Linked DNA regions of Arabidopsis thaliana. The protein of the gene in region 1 purifies or fractionates together with the protein of each later gene. This does not show direct contact. Each region holds a gene or a part of one and is shown in the gene's direction. Other genes may lie near its edges. The genes, in order: PEX3-1 and AT5G17510.

Region 1 (4,708 bases):
TCTTTTATGTAGATTTTATCCGTTGCCGAGCTTCGTGGTGTCCCTTTCCCGATGTTCAAGGTGAAAGATTTGACTCTCGAGACAGTCATCTTTCAGTATGTTATTCCTGGTATAGAAAGAGTGTTACAAAACTCACCTGATTTAAAGAAGCTAACATTACTCACAAAGGATTTCTACCATAAACCGGTATATTTTACTACCATATATATAAACCTCTTTTATTTTCCATGATTACCTTTTCTGTCATCCAAGAACCATGTTTTTTTTCTGTTGTGCAGGGTGAGTATCTTGGCGACCACATGGATTTGGAAGGCTTTAATCTCGATCAATGTTGGAAATCAAAATATGGTGTCTTTTGGAACAAGTCATGTTTGGATGTAGAGTCAGAGCACGTTGTTTCATTCGTGGAACTTATGCTTAAAAACACAAAGGCATTAGACAAGATGGTCGTACTGTTGGAAGACCATTACGTTAGGTTTAAAGAGATGGTTCCAAGACTTTCTCACAACTATAATATCTCCATTGCCCTCTACACCTTCAAGCCGCAAAGTTAGATTAGAGGTGAATATGATCATTGAGTCTTATTGAGCATTTTACCCCAAGTTAGATTCTTGATTTTGATTTTGATGAAAACCAGCTGTATAACCGGTGAAAACCAGCGTTGATTATGTCCAAGATAGTATTAAAAGAAGAGATAGTAGTTAGTTAGTTTTTTTTGTGTAAGTCACAAGTTCTTACGAAATTAGAGAGGGAAAAATTATTGAAATGTGTGTTGCTATTAACCTTTTGGATGTGATCTCTCTATCAGATTGTTAATTTACTAATTCTTTTGAACCCTGATATTGGAAATTTACATCTAGTTCTAGCTCAAAAACGATGTAAATTAAGCTCTAATTTTTTTCAGTCGGTAAGTTTTCAATTATAGAATAACATGTCAGTCAGTATTTTGTTTTTGTTATGCCGATAACATTTCAATTTTGGTGTGGAATGTGTAGTTCTACTTGACATGATAACGAACGAAGCCTCAAGCCTGTATATACGAGATAAAATCGAAGTAGATAGATCACTGGATGGATCCAGATCATGTTGGGGAAAAGAGACATTAAAGAGGTTGTAGATTGTTTGTATATCCGAGGTTGTCGTTGCATGAAAAGAGACATATAAGTGAAGACAAGAAATCTTGAAAATCTCTAGTTCAGTCCAAAGGTTTGAGGAGAGTTTGAACATTATGAAATTGCTTCTACACGTGGGCCTACTTATAAACCGGAAATGTCAATGGAACCGGTTTGTTTGTTGGACATTCATTATATACAAAATTGACTGGTAATGTTAGTCCATTTTATTAAATGTTGGATTTAATTTTGTACCTAAATAAGCATATATATATATATATACATATATATAACTGAAAGTATTTCTTGAGCTAATGGATACAAAATCTACACAATACGGTTCGGTTTGATTCAATAGCCAACACTATTTGATTTTTCTAAACCAACGATAAAATCGGTCTACTGAAATTACTACCGAGTTTATCAGTTCAACATCTTTCGGTCGGAACGTATATGTATATGTTGGTTGACCTAATAAAGCAAATAGACTTTGGTTCGGTTAAGTTCGGTTAAATAAAGAAAAAGCAGATTCTGAGCTTTGTTTGTGAGATTCAGTTTCCAATATCAGAGAATCTCTGTGTCGCCTGAAGTGATAACATTCTCATTATTCACCCAAGGAGAGAGATCGGAGCTAAAAAGCCATCTCTCGCCGGAAAATTTCTCAGTTTTCTTATTACCTTAGCCACAGACAACAAGACGACAGAGGAATCTAATCTTAGCCCCCTTTCCTCTCTGTCTCTCTCTATATCTCTGTCTTTAGGCTTTGAGATATCTTCAACACGAAGCTTTTTGCTTCTTTTTTTTATCTCTTTAAAAAATTCCAGCCAATGGTTCGAATCCAATAGTAGCTTCAAAGGTCATGGATTTAGTCAGGTGTGTTCTAAATTCTGATCTCCTTATGTATTCCTTTCTCTCGCTATTGGTTTCTAGTTCCGTAGGGTTTTAGATACGTTTGCAACTGAGGACAATTAGGTTTCTTTTAATCCACATCACGATTGATTCAAAGTTCATTGTGTTTCTGTAGGGGTTTGTGGAGGAAACATAGAAGGAAGATTTTGGTGACGACGACTTGTTTGGGAAGTGGGTATTTGCTCTATAAACTATACAATGCCCATACTCGTAAGCTCGCTGATTTGGAACGAGAGCTTGCTAATGAGCGTGAAAACGACGAGATCATCAAAACCCAGTTGAGTTTTTGTAACCTCTCGTCTTTATTTTTTGCTTGTTTATCGATTTCTAGTCCTTATTGGTTTTGTTCTCTCTATGCTCTATGTTAGAATGAAGGCACATTTCGATAACATTCAGATGATTGCTGATACTACTACATTGCCTCACGCAATTCATCACTTGAGTAGTCGTGTAGTTGAAGAGATTGATGTCTCGAGTATTATGGATAAGCTAAGCAAAGGCAAAGGAATATTGATTCCTTCTGAGAAGCTTCAACTCTGGAATGAGCTCAAAATTTTGAGTGCGTTGTTGTTCCCTTACTTGTACTTCTCGTGCTCTGTGGCAACATTGGATCTTCTCATTAATCAATCTTTTTAAATGTGTTTCCTTGTGTTCAGGTTTCACGAGAATGGTCTTGTCCCTTTGGTCGGTCACTATGCTTAGTTTGTACATTAGGGTTCAAGTCAATATTTTGGGCAGACATTTATATATCGACACTGCTAGAGGTCTTGGGAGCTCCCATTTACTTGTAAGACATTTTACTTTTCTCTTTTTATTGTCTTAAGAATCATTGTTAAGCTACTTCTAGCAAATTGGTCATTCTGATAAAATTTTGTGTACTTTCATTCTACTTGTTGCATTGTATCTTGAGATATCAAAATTTCAAATTGAGATTTCAAGGGGTAGAAGTTGATATTTTGCATCTTTTCCTTTCAAAATTATCGAAATTAGTGTATTCATTGGTCTTAGATATAACTCTTGGCTGGATTACCACAATCTTTACCAACGTCATTTCCTTGATATGTTTTTTTCTCAGGACGAACTAGATCTCATAGAGAGAGATGATGAACAAAAGTTTTTGACAAGCGCTGATTTTCTTGCGACCAGTGGCATGCCGAGTTTGATTTCTAACATGCAGAACGCAGTGAAAGAAGTTCTCAAGGGGTAATTTACATTACAAACCTACTTATCAAAGATGTCTCCCTTGTTTCTCATCCTTGAAGATTGATTTTATGGTGCCTCAAACTCAAATGCCTATGAAGAATCACTATACTTTTATGAACGTATAGCGAAATCTAACTATGTGTGTTTAATTGCAGAAAGCAGTTAAAGGATGTGTTAACCACAAGTGCTCTTCGAGAAACTGTGATGCGGATTCTCGATGTGTTTATGAGCACAGGAAGTCCACACCACTGGGTAGATTATCTAATGATGTCCCAAGACGCAACCACTGATGTTTCCTCTTCTGATGCAACTGTTACCAAGTTTCATCTACTCATAACCGAGACACGGGAAGTACTCACAAGGTAAAAAAAATCTCTGCTCTTTAACCCGCAAAAGACGAACAATTTCACTTCTTTAAAGCCTTGTCCTCGTTTCTGCTTCAATGCTCAAAGCAAGAATGTTGCAATGTAGCCTGTTAAACATTTCTTGGTCTTGTTTTCATGTTGCAGCAATGATTTTTCAAATGTAGCAGAGATCTCACTCAAGTGTTGTGCCGTTGCGTTAGTAGAGGAGATGGAAACGCAGACCGGTCTGGCCACAGGGATGCAATTGGCAAAGCTATTACCACAGATTGAGAAAACCATGCCGGAGATTTCAGCTGAGCCGGAGAAGAACCGGTTCTTGCAACTCATCCGAGATTTGCCTGAAGTTAAACTCTTTTTTACTCTTTTATACGCAAATATGCCTCAGTAGCATTATTAAACCCCATTGCCAAAAATTGTTTCCTGATCACTTTTTATCATATGTTTCGATTTACTTCAAAATAGTAAAACCAAACATCTCTAGAATAATTGTTCAATATCTATATCAAATCATTTACTAATATAGTAATATTGCAGCAACAAAAAAGGACACCGTGTATTACATATCTTTCAGTTTTTAGGGCCCTAGAAGCCCAAGGCCCAATAAAACCGGGTCGGTGATATTAACTTCTTCTTTTTTATTAACTTGGGTCTCTCCATCTTTCTCAGTTCTCACTATCTGGACACTTTCGATTTCTGAAGTTGAGAGACGACTATGGCGACGAACAATGGTGATGTCTTGATGTTGGAGGCGACGCCGGAGGCTGCGAGGCCCTGGGCTAGTGCGGCGAATGCAGAAGTTATCGATGCGCTTCCTTATATAGACGACGACTATGGCAATCCATTGATTAAGTCGGAGGTAGACCGTTTGGTGGAGGAAGAGATGCGTCGGAGCTCTAAGAAGCCAGCTGACTTTCTAAAGGACTTGCCTCCTCTTCCGAAGTTCGATTTTAAGGTGAATTTCACTGTGAATCCTTTTATCGATTTGTTTGTTCGTTTCTCTAGCTAGGGTTTGGAAATTTTGTTGGATTAGGGTTTAAAGGGAATTTGGTGAATTCCAATCTTTTGGTTTCTGGGTTTTACTTCATCTTGGACTTTATAGGAGTGAGTGTTGATTTTGGG
Region 2 (5,444 bases), on another chromosome or scaffold:
CTTTTTACTTTCCCCCCATAATTTTATCTGTAAGTAACGTGTTGACATTGGTTAGTCATATCAGTCACTTTTAGCCTCTAGGAGATTATCTCGAAACCTTTTTAACAAGTTTTCATATTATTAGCTTGGGTAATATTGTAACCATTTGCATTGAGCTAAGTGTTGGATGCCGAATCTCTTTCATTGCAATTTCGCTTCAGTCCTCGTGTTGTTATTGGGCTTTATGAACAAAAAAAACTATGTCAGGAAATAGGAGTTTTCTTTTTTATAGAAAAAAAAAATGGTGGCCTTGATGCTTTTTCTCCAAGTCTGTATTAGGATTCTCTGACAACTAATTCCTGGTTTCGTAGATCCTTCAAAACAACTGTTAAGATGTGTAGTTGTTTATATGGATAAGTGTTCTTCTTTTCTCTTAACTACCTACTGGTAAGAATGCAGGCTCGAACTGGGAAACTTTCAGAGAAAGGTGTTAGGTTTGTAGGGTCTTTATCTGGATGGACAGCAACTCTTATGTTCATGTGGATGCCAGTTTCCCAAATGGTATAACAACTCATTTTTTCTCTCGTTCTTTGAACTTTCTCCTAATTGCTCTTTCCCTATTGGATATCTGATGTTCTTCTACACTTCAGTGGACAAATTTTCTAAACCCGGACAACATAAAAGGCTTATCGTCAATCACAATGTTGCTCTCGATGATGGGAAACGGGCTTATGATCCCTCGAGCACTATTTATCCGTGATTTGATGTGGTAAATATAAGCTCTCTCAATTCGAAACCTTTCAGCTTAAACTATATTCACCCGTAGTAAAAAAACTGCTTGATATTCATTAAACCATGACGCAGGCTCACTGGTTCGCTATGGGCAACTCTCTTTTATGGATATGGAAATATTCTTTGCTTATACCTGTAAGAACCCTTGCACACAACTCTCTTTTGTCACAAGTAAATGAGTTTATCGATAATCCGGTATTCTCCACAGGGTAAATTGCACCAGCCAGTCATTCTTCGTGGCAGCTACAATTGGTTTGATCTCATGGATAGGTTGGTTACTTCACAGATACTCTCTCTTACATTATCATCGTTCCATTTTTGTTTTCCACCATATATTCAAGTGTGAGATGTTCATAAATCACTCTCTGAACGCATTTAACCGTTTCTTCCCCCATTTGTATGAAACAGGACTGGCTTTGTGGAGAGATGCAGTGGCTTATGGTCACAACTCGCCGTTTAGATCTTTGAAAGAACTTGTTTTTGGACCGTAATGAATGAATGTACACGCCATAAACGCCCTTTGTTCAAGCAAGTCCATAGAGATTACATGTATTTTCATTCTTTTTTCCTAAGGGTTATAAGACAACTACTCTGTAATTTCATGTATTTTTTTACTTGAATCATATAGTAAAATAATGTCTGATATCAAAAATAACTTTTGATATTGAACGGTCAAAAATCAAAATCGAAACATTCTCGGTTCAGCTTTGGCTATCGTTTTCCCGGGTTCAGCTTTGGCTATCGTTTTCCCGGTTTAGTCTGATTAGTTGGCTTAATATTTGTGGTCTTTAATCATAAAAGCCCAATTAGATTGGCCCAGATAAATCACAAGCCTCTTTCTTCTCTCACTTAGACAAGACAACCATTATTCACGGCGAAGAACATTTCCCCGAAAAACCCTAGAATCCCAAAATAGAATCCCTAAAAGAGAAAGAAAGCAAAAATGGAGGACACGAAGCCACCATTGGGAGGTAACAACAATCCTCAGCAGCAGCAGCAACAACAACAACTTCTCTATCAACACCAACTACAACAACAACAGAGACAACAACAAATGCTTCTATTGCAGCAATTGCAAAAACAACAACAGCAACAAGCAGCAATGTCTAGATTCCCGTCGAACATCGACGTGCATCTCCGGCCACCGGGGTTGATTCAGAACCGACCCATTAATCCTCCGCCTCAGCAGAATCCTACCCCTAACCCTAATTTGGGACAGCAGACACCGAATTTTCAACAGCAGCAGCAGCAGAATGTATCGAGTCAGCAGATGATGCAGCAACAACAACAACAGCAGCAGCAGCAGAAATTGATGAGGCCATTGAATCACATCGAGCTTCAATGCGCTTATCAGGACGCTTGGCGTGTTTGTCACCCCAATTTTAAACAACCCTTCTCTTCTCTCGAAGATGCTTGCGAGAGGTTTGTTGTATCAAATGCAAATTATCAAACTTTATATACTTTTGATGAAATTCATCAAAGCCGCAGCAATTAGTATAGTTTTCTAGTCTCAATTTAATGATATCAAACATTGATCTATCTATTAATAATTGAATTTAATGATCTATCACGTTTTTTTGGGTTTTGAGTTGTTATCTCCTTAGGAGTCGCCCTGAGGCTTTCTGTTGTCCTATTTGGTAGTAGAATTAGAATGATACTATATGTTAGCCTTTTGGTCAACTATAGATTGTGACTATAGATTAAAAACGGGATCTTTGTCTACTGGAAGCATGAGTTTCTTGAATAGGTATCTTTCTGAAAAAGGTAGATGCTGCATCTGTTATATTTTCCCTGTCTATAAGTATAAGAGATCCTGTTCTTCTCTCTGAGTTTGATGTGGCATCTCTGCATGGTCCTCATTTCTTTGAGATCAATTTGGAATTACGTCCTGTCTTTTCTCGTAAAAGCTATAAATACCTCCTTTTGAGTGTTGAGAAACATTACTGAGTTCCGTGGATATTACTAATTATTCTTGCTATTTTTGTTACCTGTCTTCTTCCATATCTGTGTGAAAAGGTTCTATTGACGTAATATTAGGTTTATAATTGCTAGATAGATCCATTGCCTTGTTTGAACATTCTGTTTCTGGTTTACTGCGGTCACTACTCACATTGCGTGTATTCTTACAACCTGTGCAGATTATTACCTTATCATGTCGTAGCAGATTACGAAGCAGAAGAGGATGATAGAATCCTTGATTCAGACCCAACAGGCCAGGCCTTGTCCCGCTCTCAACAATGGGATAACAACATTGCTGCGAAAGTTGCTGAATTCACGGCAACGTTTGAGAAGCAAGCACTAGCTTTTAACATAATAACTCGAAAGAGAGCTATGGGAGAATTCAGATCTGAGGAAAGGTTGATGGTAGAACAAGCTTTGCTACAAGATGAAAGGAAAGCGTTGATTGAACTGAAAGCAGAAATGGATAGGGAGAAGGCTGGCCGGGAGGCTCAGGAGGCTAAGCTGCGGATGGCGGCTTTAGCTCAAGCTGGACAGTCTCAATCTCATGCTGAGATAATGGCTCGTAACCCATTAAGGGCTAATGCGGTTGGAAATCAGGGCAGCAATATTCAGCTTAGCCACGAGATGGGAGAACAGGGACGTAACATGAACCCTGATGAGATGATGAATGGATGGGGAAACAACAGTCAGAGAGAGGACAAGGAACCTTCAGAAGATTTCTTGAATGATGAGGAGAATGAGAATGGAGAGACAGGGGAACAAGAAAACTGGCGTGAAGCAGGAGAATTTGATTTGAATAGCCGGTAAATGACCAAGGTGAAGACTATTTGCAGTCTCATGTATTAGAAACTGGAAAGGAAATTACAGTTGCTCTTGATATCACTCCAATTTCTATAGTTTCAAGCTGCTATATATGCCAGGTTCAGGTCAAGTATATGGGTATCTGATAGTCAGACTCAAAGCCTAATGATACTCTTGCTCTCCGCTATCTGAATTACCAATGATGGTTCCAAGTAAGCATTTCTTGTATCTGTTTGATGTTTTGTAGCATAAGTTAGATGTGTGCATTACATGTTGATGATTAGTGTCTTCATGATACATGGAGATGGAGAGGCTGGTTACCTAGTAACCGAATCTTGTAGAAGGTGTAAGAGATCCAGATAGTAAAGCTTAGTAGCTAAAATAGATTATCATATGTAAGTTACTATTACAGAATTGTATTGGTTATGTATTGGCCATGTATGGAATGATTGATTGTGATATGTGAAAAGATTGTAATAGTTACACAAATTTAATCCTCAGGTGGAGGATTTTTGCATACTTTCTCATCAAATTGGTCTAATTTTGTTTGTTTTTTTTCCTTAAAAGATAATATGAAAACTAGGGTAATATTAATGCTTTAGGGTTCTAACCTAAAAAGTTTTGAGTTAACTTTGTGAAGAAGTAAGGCAATACAAAATCGTCATCGTTTCGGAGAATTGTTTCTTCTCTCTGCCATAAAAACACAGAGGACGAAGCTTATGAAGGGAAACGTAGAATAACTAAACAATTCACTAATCCTAATTAGACATTTATTCTCTCTTAGCTTAAATCAACAAATAAACCTCAGAAGATTTTGAACCATTGGCTTGCAGGTTCACAAGTAGTATCTCCGGTCAAACAGTTGCAAGAATTAGCAACAACATTGTTATCCGAATCCACGTCTAAGCATACCAACGAACCGTCACTAGTGTTGAACGACAAATGCATCTTTGTGGCCGATATTTGCTCAATCTTTGTGCATATCCTGCCAAGTTTCACACTTTTTCCGACCGCTGTTTCTCCTTCTAAGCAAGATTTGTGACCGCGTCTGATCTCAAGTATGCCTCCATGAGAATAGCTCCACGGTTCGTCCTTTGTGCATGGACCTAACGTGAGCTCGGACTCATGGCAGTGTGACTTTCTCACTAGGCAGAGTCCGGTTAACGGATGAAATATTTTCTTGTGATGATTGTGCTTTACACCGGGTCCTGTTTATTAAATTTACATCAAACTATATGTAATAATAATCTGGTTAAATTACAAGCAAGATTGATGAATACCTGTGTGCGGTGGTTGAATGACGGAGAGCCTACGGAGATAAGTATAGTTATGAACATTATGCCAATTCGCATCTAACATACCGTAAGCTTCAACTACACCACGTTTGCCTTCGCGGAAATAATAAACTCCCGTAACCGCCCAAACCGCCCAATCCAAATCTTTCTCGGCCGCCCATGCCAACATACAATTCATGTACCTAATGGTATACGGTTGATAAAAGTACTTTAAGCTTTGATTGGTAAGCAAATATCTAAATGTAATTATAAAGGAAAGCCTTGGTCGAGAACCTGTTTCCTTCAAGATCGCCACCTCTTTGATCGGTCCCAAACTCGCTCAAGAACAAAGGAAAGCCTTGGTCGAGAACAAAACCGCCGGTACGACGCTCCTTAGAGAACATTTGGCTGCAAAAGTCGTTGACATTGTGTGACTTCCATTGACCAGTACCGTCAGTGAAAGAATACCAATGAAGCTCCAAGACAAGTTTTTTCTTGAAGCTAAGATTCACTGGACGATCTTTTAAGAAACTTAGGTCAGCATCGAAGTTAAGCCCTGAGAGTATGACCAGTACGTTAGGGTTTGATGTATGCACTGCTTCTGCTCCTTTTTGCATGTACCTACATGTGGAAAAA

Evidence for each region.
Region 2: the proteins of PEX3-1 (region 1) and AT5G17510 fractionate together in Arabidopsis thaliana (co-fractionation; one large-scale study listed by BioGRID). This does not show direct contact.

The regions. Positions count from the first base shown.
Region 1 is NC_003074.8:6,218,947-6,223,654, forward strand, and holds PEX3-1 (peroxin 3-1), read left to right. Parts: upstream 1-1,971; coding exon 1,972-2,051; intron 2,052-2,136; coding exon of another isoform or gene 2,137-2,148; coding exon 2,149-2,298; exon of another isoform or gene 2,299-2,375; coding exon of another isoform or gene 2,376-2,389; coding exon 2,390-2,580; intron 2,581-2,677; coding exon 2,678-2,808; intron 2,809-3,096; coding exon 3,097-3,224; intron 3,225-3,379; coding exon 3,380-3,586; intron 3,587-3,733; coding exon 3,734-3,977; 3' UTR 3,978-4,127; downstream 4,128-4,708. Other genes in the region: MOS4 (modifier of snc1,4), read left to right, coding at 4,302-4,541. UniProt on the Arabidopsis thaliana protein: Involved in morphology determination of peroxisomes, but not in import of peroxisomal matrix proteins. May act as a docking factor for PEX19 and be necessary for the import of peroxisomal membrane proteins in the peroxisomes.
Region 2 is NC_003076.8:5,768,614-5,774,057, reverse strand, and holds AT5G17510 (mediator of RNA polymerase II transcription subunit-like protein), read left to right. Parts: upstream 1-1,662; 5' UTR 1,663-1,714; coding exon 1,715-2,193; intron 2,194-2,909; coding exon 2,910-3,540; 3' UTR 3,541-3,746; exon of another isoform or gene 3,747-4,129; intron 4,130-4,133; downstream 4,134-5,444. Other genes in the region: RCP1 (root cap 1 (RCP1)), read left to right, coding at 439-540, 630-748, 844-906, 980-1,041, 1,180-1,262; AT5G17500 (Glycosyl hydrolase superfamily protein), read right to left, coding at 4,339-4,742, 4,815-5,011, 5,103-5,429.